Caenorhabditis elegans: one gene and its partner. The protein of the gene in region 1 purifies or fractionates together with the protein of each later gene. This does not show direct contact. Each region holds a gene or a part of one and is shown on either strand. Other genes may lie near its edges.

What was found. Proteins that work in one complex are often made in the same cells at the same time.
Region 2: the proteins of scav-6 (region 1) and Y57G7A.3 fractionate together in Caenorhabditis elegans (co-fractionation; one large-scale study listed by BioGRID). This does not show direct contact.

Annotation. Positions count from the first base shown.
Region 1 is NC_003279.8:7,352,264-7,357,865, forward strand, and holds scav-6 (SCAVenger receptor (CD36 family) related), read left to right. Parts: upstream 1-2,227; 5' UTR 2,228-2,230; coding exon 2,231-2,356; intron 2,357-2,404; coding exon 2,405-2,580; intron 2,581-2,630; coding exon 2,631-2,781; intron 2,782-2,848; coding exon 2,849-2,949; intron 2,950-2,994; coding exon 2,995-3,064; intron 3,065-3,109; coding exon 3,110-3,205; intron 3,206-3,274; coding exon 3,275-3,422; intron 3,423-3,516; coding exon 3,517-3,646; intron 3,647-3,691; coding exon 3,692-3,802; intron 3,803-4,103; coding exon 4,104-4,380; intron 4,381-4,431; coding exon 4,432-4,505; intron 4,506-4,551; coding exon 4,552-4,864; 3' UTR 4,865-4,912; downstream 4,913-5,602. Other genes in the region: spsp-1 (uncharacterized protein), read left to right, coding at 244-279, 345-834, 884-1,051, 1,097-1,273, 1,320-1,381; F07A5.4 (Olfactomedin-like domain-containing protein), read right to left, coding at 4,977-5,240, 5,500-5,602.
Region 2 is NC_003280.10:1,283,659-1,287,213, reverse strand, and holds Y57G7A.3 (uncharacterized protein), read right to left. Parts: upstream 1,433-3,555; 5' UTR 1,412-1,432; coding exon 1,382-1,411; intron 1,313-1,381; coding exon 1,226-1,312; intron 1,179-1,225; coding exon 1,099-1,178; intron 1,055-1,098; coding exon 995-1,054; intron 951-994; coding exon 881-950; 3' UTR 841-880; downstream 1-840. Other genes in the region: Y57G7A.6 (uncharacterized protein), read left to right, coding at 1,676-1,757, 1,803-1,883, 2,550-3,555.

The sequences.
Region 1 (5,602 bases):
GGTCCGGCGCGCTACTAAAGTTTTCAGGCCTGGAAAATCTTTCAGAGTTCTCGAATTGGAATAAAAATCAAATACTTGAAAAAAAAGTTATTTAGAAATAATATTTTCGTGACCTTGGCCTTTGAAATTATCTTTTTGGAATATCGATGAGGAAAACGAATCGAAAAACAAAAGAAAATCAGTACTCGAAACTAAAACTTTTTGCAAGCTCGAATATTTCGATTCAATAGACAACAACCATCGATGGCCAAGTCTAACTCGAACAATAGCCACAATGAGGTAAGTAGTTTTTTCTGTCCGGGCATGAAACTTTCTAACAACTTTGAAAATTATAAATATTACAGGCAGATACTCTCTCATCACTTCTCTCTTCAGTTGGTAGTTCTTATGATGGAGAATCTGATTCTACATTCGTGTCAACTGGAACTACTCCATCATCAAGCCGTCGTTCTCGTCTTGATTCGTTCCTTTCAACTACTAGTTCCAGTAAATCAAGACCAAGAATTAAAAGCAAGCTTCCTCGTAGCTCGTCGTCTGGATTCTCGGGAACAGGATCTGAAAGATCTATTTCAAGCAAAAGATCGAAAATTGGAAACACTTCTGGGAACCGTAACAAGATTTCGCAAAGTGCTAGAAGAAGACTTTTGCAAGCTGAAATTGAGAGTCGACGCAATAGATCCAACAAATCACCAGGTTCCAGTCGTAAAAGCATTCTGAAGAAATCTCCGATGAAAAAAAGAAGATCTCTTTCGAGAAAATCTTTACCAAAGAAGGAGCATATTCCTCCAGTTCAAAAGTTTGCAATTATCAAGAATCCAGCTGCTCGTAATCAAGGTGAGCCCTGAGATTGTTTTGAAAGTTCACATAATTGATCATATTTCAGTTCGTGGATTTGTTGCTGAATACGCACAAGATCCAGAATTTGAAGCTTTTGAGCTTTTGGTTGACGGAATTCCATTTGTTGCTCTCTCTCTGATGAATGCTCATCCAGATCTTCGTGGAAGATTCAAACCTGTTCCACCACCAACACCGATGAAGAAGCATACTCCAGGTAGTTTTATCTTGAATCACCTTTAACTCATTTACTCATTTCAAGGTATCAATAGCCCACGAAAACGTCCTTTGCGTCGTGAATCTATTTCTTCCGTTAACTCGAAAAGTGTTCGTTTCACTGATGAGGGATCTTCTTTTTCGAAAAGAGCTAGAAAATCTTCATCCGGAGATGTCGATTCATCGATTCGTGAGCTTGGAGAGACAGTATCGGATGCCATGAGTACGATTTTTGAGTCATTGTAATAAAAAACTATTTTTTTTTGCAGTTGACACTGGTCGCCAGTACAATGATTTGTGGAAGGATCGTGCACATAGTGTTGAAAAATGATTGATCTCTGTAATGATATCACCTGATTGATTTTCTAGAGAATAAAATGATGATTTGAATATGTTTAAGTAATTTGAGATTAATTCTTTATTTGGTCCCATTGGCCGTTGACGTTCTAAAAAATCGATTCCTTTCGCCCTGAAGACGCTTTTAAAAATATGAACGATAGAACCGCTAGAGCTAGTTGATAATTTTAAAACTAAGTTTTCAAATTTAGAGAGGTAACAGCTTATAATTTTAATTTTTTTAAAACAAATAACAATGAATTACAGCAAGTAGGAAATGTCCGAAATTATTTCAATGGTGTGAACAGTTTTTCAAAACATCTGAAGATTTTGTACACTTTTAATAGTTCAGTAAAATTGGGAAATCAACTCAAAACTTTGATTGATAGTTAGAACAATTTTCAAATTTCAAACTGTTTTGTTTAACCATTTAAACATTTTTACTACATCTAAAGTTTATACTGACAAACTCCCCCTGACGCCCACTCTTCGCCTCGACCGTGTAGAATTTCTATTGTAGCTACGATAGGTTCTTAACCATCAATTTTTATGAATCATTAAAAAAAAAAATAAATCTCCACGAATCTCTGGAGTATAGTTCGACCCATACGATCAGTGCAAACTCTTTGAGCATTCACCTGAAGCTGCATCTAACGTGTTTTCTGCCATTGATAACCAGGGCATTTCAATGTACGACAATATAGTTAGCTGCTGATAATAAAGAATTCGTCTGATAAGCCACGTAAACCATATAGACAGCATATTTACATGCTTTCTGACTCTGTTTTAAATCGATTTTTGATAATTTCAATTGGTTTATATGTTTCTTTTTTTTTTTCAGAAAATGGGTTTTCGGATACGGATAAATAAACTAGATGTATTCTTAGTTGTTATTGCAATTGTGTTTATTGTGTTTGGAATTGTTACTTGGGCGGCATTCTCTTCAATTTACAGTACTCTGGTCATAAAGGTATTCCCGTGAAAAGTGAAGTTAATTCCTAAACTTGCATGATATCAGAACCTACAACTAACTGAAAATTCTGATACCAGTCTAGGATATTCTGCATTTCAATATACAAGTCCTCAAGTGGATAATATAATGAAATTCTACTTTTTTAATGTTACAAATCCAGACGAAGTGAAATACTATTCTGCTGCACCAAATTTGGTAGAAATTGGTCCATTTTCTGTAATGTAAGTTGAATTTTCCTCATAGATATGTTAATTAAATTCCGAATTTGAAGGGAAAGTGAGCAGAAAAAATATCTGGAATTCAGTGATGATAAATCACAAATGTTTTATCAAAATTACAAAAAGTATATTTTATCAAAAGATTATTCGTGTGAAGATTGTGACTGGGACAGAAATATTGTTTTTCCGAATCCACCAGGATTGGTGAGTTTTGATAGATTAGCGGGCGAGTGCACGTGGCGCCTCAACTTGATTTCATGTCTGTTTTCAGGGGGCTGTTGCTTCAATGTTAGATCCACAATTCCAAATCACAAAAACGGGAAGAACAATTATTGCAGTGGCTTTAACAATTCTTGGTGAATATCCATTTGTGTAAGTTTTTCACCGAATTTAACTTATTTTAAAATAAGTTTGCAGTTCTCATAAAGTTCGTGAAGTTCTGTTTGACGGTTACGAGGATGCTTTACTGTCCGCTGCTCATTCAGGGGTAACTTTTTAACTTAAAAAAAGTAGCTGTAAATCTAATTTTTAGTTCGTGACAGTTTTATCAGGAATATTCAAAGGAGATGGTGGAAGTATCGTTCCAATTCCGATTCCAGCTATGCCGAAATTTGGATATTTTCAAGGGGTTTGTAGATTCTTTTGAAAGCTAATTTCTGATCGGGAACTATATTTCGAATTGAGAATATATCTTCAGTATAACAACTCAAGAGATGAGGAATATTGGATTGAAACGGGAAAGAAAGATATAAACCAAATAGGAAATGTTCAGCGATGGGCTGGAATTACAGAACTTCCTGGGGAATGGTGGACTACTCCAAAGGCTAGAAGTATTCGTGGAAGTGGTGAGTTGACCATTATCTCGCATTGAATTGAATTGAATTTATTGAACTTTAATGCAATTTATTTTAAACACATTCAAAAGGAAAGTATTTTAAGATTCTGGAAGTTTCACTCAAATGCACTTGGACGAGTCATCAACTGCTGATATGTTCTTTTCATTCATGTGCCGATCATTCACAAAAACCTTTTACCAGAGGGAAACGATTGAGTCAATTCCAACAATTGGGTGTGTTAGTTGTCACAAAACAAATAAATAATCCTCTTTTCACAGTTATCATATTGGGTACGACGAATGGGACACCACATCTGATAACAATGTGGGCTTCCGTTATCGAAATATTGAAAAGAGAAACTATTTTCCTGACTGGCCAAAATGTCCACCGTAAGTTTTTTTTCGAATAATTTTTACTCTCTTAATTTGCAGCAAAAATTTTGGAGTTTTTCTGAAAAAAAAGCTGATAAGTTTTTGTCTGAAATTTGATTTAAGATTTCCTGAAAGATTGAGATTTTTTCTGAACGAATAGTATTACCGGTACAGAGAGTGTAGATAGTTAGAGAGTGACAGACATCCGGGACCCAATGGGGCGGGGATCGATCGAAATGATTGATTGAAAATATGATTTAATTCAACAATACATAATAGTGAAAAAGAGAAACTTCAATTATAAATTTTTGATTTTCAGAAAAGGTCAATGTCATCAATCAGGCTCTATTGATTGTTCAAAGTCAATTAATTTCTGTCATGCATGTTGTGATGGTTCCCTATATAATGGAACATACCTTCTACCACCTGGAATGTTTCCACTTGTATGCTATCCAGGAAGACTTCAACCAACACCATTTGCCGTTGTTTATTCTCCTCCTCATTTCCTGTTCTCTCCAGATGAAGTACGGACTACTGTAGTTGGAATGGCTCCCAATAAAAGCCTACATGAGCCAATGATTTATTACCATGAACCTGTGAGTTCAGTTTAAATTGGACATTGAAGTTTGGAAATAATTGTTTTTTAGTATAGTGGAACAACATTAAAAGTTGTAAATCGTCTTCAAGTGAATATGCCAGTCATTCGATCTCATGATGTTCCGTAAGTTAAATACAATTCAATTTTAAAAAATTCAAACTATTTTCAGAAGTAGTCAAAATATGCCAAATGTTATGATTCCACTGTTCTGGCAGGATACATCACCGAAATATCACCAATTCATTTTTAATGAAGTATGGCTCGGATTTGTATTAGTGCCTCGATTGATGAGGGTTCTACAATTTGTGGCTCTTGGAATTGGCCTTCTTCTGGTGGCGATTATAGTTTTTCTTCAATTAAGAAAAGGAAAACCGTCTTTGATTAGACCTTTGAAAACAAGTTTCTTAGAAACGACAAGTAATTGGTTATCTTCGACATCTTCTTCCAATTCAAATGAAAGTAGAGGATTAAGGAGAATGTGATTTTATTTGTTTTTCAATGTACTTTTGCAATAAAATAAATTTTAATGTGTTCTAAAAATTGTTGATAAAAGTTGAAGCTTGTTAAACTTTACTGATAGTTATGATAATGTAGTTATTGTTGTACGGGAACTTTGTAGATCTTTGCATTTGCGTAAACAGCAATTGATTTGCTATTAGGGTCATACTGTACATTGCAAATTGGCTGAGAAAGTCCTTCCCATTCTGTAGTTCTTCCTTGAATATATGTGTGACTATAAAAGTCATAGACAGGTGTCACAGTTCCATCACACTCTACAGAGTATAAAATTGCACATCTGACGAACGCATTACACATTGTTGAAGTGTCAATTGAAGGAAGTGTCCAATTAGAAACTATCTGAAATAACAATGTTTTGCTTTTTGAGAGAAGCGCATTTATGCGGATGGCTTTCGCCGAGAAACTTTTTTTTAAACTGATGTTGTGCTCTAATCATACAGAAGTAAAACTGTGAATTTAAAAAAAAATTATTCTTTGCACTGCAGATATTCTCTTCATTTAACTCCGAGGAAAATGTAAAACGTTTTTTCAAAGACTACAGCATGATGTACAGGAGATGTAATACGCGAAACAATAGAGAACGCAGAGAATAACGTACTTGCATGGTGTGGAAGTTTATTCGACTGACTGTAAGAACCGTCTCGTCCTGTCTTCTGTAGAGCACCCATATTCCATGTTCTTCTGCCTGTACGTCAAGCCGA
Region 2 (3,555 bases), on another chromosome or scaffold:
CAAAAATTTAGTAAAACGACACAAAATTGAGCTATTTTGATGCTTAAACAGACATACTACGCGGAAGTTATTCAGAAACCAGATGTGTGTTAAGAATTCAGTAGTTTTGGTGCTCCAAAAAACATAAAAAATATCAAATTTTTCCGAGTTTGTCAAGCACGGCAAATTTGCCGAATTTGCCGAATTTGCCGTGCTCTGCAAATATTGAAAAAAGAGATTTGCCGAATTTGCCGAGCTCGGCAAATTTTGAAAAACCAGCAATTGCCGATTTGCCGAGCTCGGCAATTTTTTCCATTTGCCGCACACCCCTGGTTGAGATCTTTTTGCTACCAGTGATGGTTCACGCGGGGATAACTTTGCAGTAGTTAGTCCGATCAAAAACTGTCAACCAACCAAGTTGCCGGAATGGTTACTTGATTTTTGATTTTCATCGATTTTTTTATTTAGAAAAGTGGACAATCGAAAAACGAATTTTTTCAAATTTTACATTTCTTTGGCCAATTTCGAATAACTGCCCATTTTGTCCTTAGATCTGGTGAATAGAAGGGCTGTGCGGCAACCGAGATTTTCGGTAACCGGCAACTTTTCGGCAACCGGCAACCAGGTTTCTAAGTTTTTTTGTTGAAATTATATTTTTGGGCGATCTGGAAAAAAGTGTGGTCGTTTTTTTTCGGCAACCGGCAACTTGGTTGCCGGCCCAGCCCTGGTGCATTTCTTGCGGTTTGCGTTCTTCCGGACCTACAGCAATCCAAGTTCTTAATAATTTTGCATTTTGTCGTAATATCTGGACTTTGCGTATTTGTGGGGCTACAGTAGCCTAGAACACTTTAACAGAAAATCTTCTACCACTGCTGCTTCATTTACATAAAAACAAGTTCAATTACTTTTTCTTTGCCATTTTTGGCTCATCAGCATCGTCCGACTCCTCTGGTGGCAACGATTTCACATTTCTGAAAATTTTAATCAATATCAGTGGCCAATTCTACAAACATACGCAAGAGTGTCTTCAGCTTCATGTCTGCTCCTTTCAATTGGAGTTTTTGCCGGCGGGGTCCTAAAAATACATTTTCTAGTGAATCGCGCAATTTTAAAACTTACTGTGCAGTCGGGCAAGTCTGCGTGGACGATTTCTTAATAGGGTTTGGGCAAACTGGCGCATTTTGGGGGACTAGATCGGCCTGCAACAAGCCATTTTATTAGGTTTTCTTTGGTCCAAGAAACTCACTCTTTCATCGTCTCTAAACTTCTTTTTTGACTGACACTGGGCAATCGAGACGATCAGCAAAAAAAATGGTCCGAAATAGAGGGAAATCTGGAATTTTTCAGTTAAGTGCTGATATATTTAATAAAAATTTCCTGAAAATTAAAAAAAAAGACATACGCTCTTGAAAATAGTTGTAAACGAAAACATGTCCCATCAATTACTGCATACAAGTGAGAATTGAAAAAGGATGACTTTGAATTTTTATCTAATGGGACTTTTATAATCTAACAAAAAACGTCAAAAAACACGTATTTGTTTGTTTTTTTAAACAATTTCAATTTGATTCCAAAATTAAATTTCCACGTGAACTTCCACATAACCCTATAAATGATGACATTAACTTGTTTTTTTTGTTGTTTTGTCCAAAAATCGATCAAATTATTACGTTCTCTTCAAACGGTCATCGCTGGTATGAGAATAAAATCAATTATCAGCATGATAATTCTGCTGAAGATTGCGATTTTCGGAATTGTCACAACTTTCGTGGAATGTGGTAAGTCACTCAGTGTTGTTCATTGCGAAAATAATTCAATTTCAGATAATTTTAATGTAAACAACGTCGAATCGCTGGATCATTCAAGTCGTCGTCAGTTTGCGAGAGCTGTAAGCTCACACAATAGTGAGTTTAAAACGTTTTTTGTTTTGTTTGAGCGCATCTGCCCATCACAGGAACCGCGCAACATTGACATTGCGACTCACCTCTGCCGCACACTCCGCGCGCCCGCCACATCACATTATGAGTACTGCGGCTGACGTTTCCCGGGTCGCGCGCACTATAGCTTGTGTGCAAGAGAAAAATGCGATGGTGTGTGAGCGGCACGGTGGTACAGCAGCTAGATGAGTGCAAACGCGCTCTACCGAACAATCCCAATTTTGGCCGGTTAGGAAATTTTCAACCAAAAAATTTCTCAATAGAACCAGCCCGACGGCGGCGGGAGTCGGGCTGGAAAGTTGCGCTCTTGTGGTACGCTTGCTAGCAAACGATCGGAAATTGCGACAAGGGATGGGCGGCAAACCGACCTTTTCGCCAAATTTAGCGAATTCGGCGAATTCAGCCAATTTTCGACAGAATTTTCGGCTAATTTTCGGCGAATTCGGCGAATTTAGCCGGCAAAGTTTACATTTGTTCCGATCAGCCGCCCATCCCTGCTCGCAATGTGGGAATTATGAGTTATTTTCTTGATACACGCATCGTGTCTGGTCCACGATCGCAAAGCCCCATTGTGCCTTAGGACGCGTTATTCGCACACCGCCAATCAACCCTAAAGAACAATTAACTTTCCAGATGAAGACCCCGCAACTCTGTTCAAAAAACTACCTGCTGTTGCTCGTCTCATCACAGCCATTGCAATAATCAATGGATTCTCCGATGGCTCCATCCCCGCCGATCCAGTCATTGCGGAACTCCTGAACATTGACACTGCCAGTCTTCAACAACTGGAGAAGTTCAACAAGACGTCTGTAGATAAGTTCATGGAAAGCTTAGGGAGCGCTGTAATTGACTCACATCCGGATACATTGAAAGTTGAGCAGGCAATACTTGATATGTCCGAAGTGAAGATGGCATGGAAAAATATTGGAAGCTTAAGCAATATACCGGCAAATGATACGTTACATTCTCTGTTAACTATTGGGTCCTGGGATATATCTGGATTGAAATCATTTGATTTGAAGAGCACATTGGATATGATGGTTTCAGAAAGTTCGACAGTTTCTGATGTTAAGAAACAGCTAGCCGACTTATCTTCCTCTGTCAAGAAACTTGCGTTTCTAAACACAATGAAACCTATTATTGAGTTACTTGAAAAATGGAAGCCGATTAAACCGTTCGCAGATATTATGGAATTGTATCTAGGCGCAGGTGCGTTGTGGTACCCGCCGCCAAAACCTAAATTCACAGAAAACGCTGAAGCTGTAAATAACATATCACTTTATGCCGACAAATTGAATATTTTTGTGATGAAAGAAGTGGTTGGGTCCCCCTATTCGCAGATAATTCGGAATGTCACTGCAGGATTTGCAAACGGAATTTCGGATATTGGAATGCTCACTAGTGATTCTAAAGATCAGTGGCTGGAGAGGCTACTCAAGCCGTCGTTTCCGTTGAGTGGCGTTAGAACGTTGACTAAGCATGCTTCTGAAATGAAAAAACTGGATGATCTATGGAAACCAGTCACCACAGAAAGTCATTTTTACACGATGAGACAAGTCACTGAACTTCAACAACATCTTGGAAACTTATTGCCTCAAAATGGCATTGAAACAAGTTTAACCACCTTGAAGACGTGTCC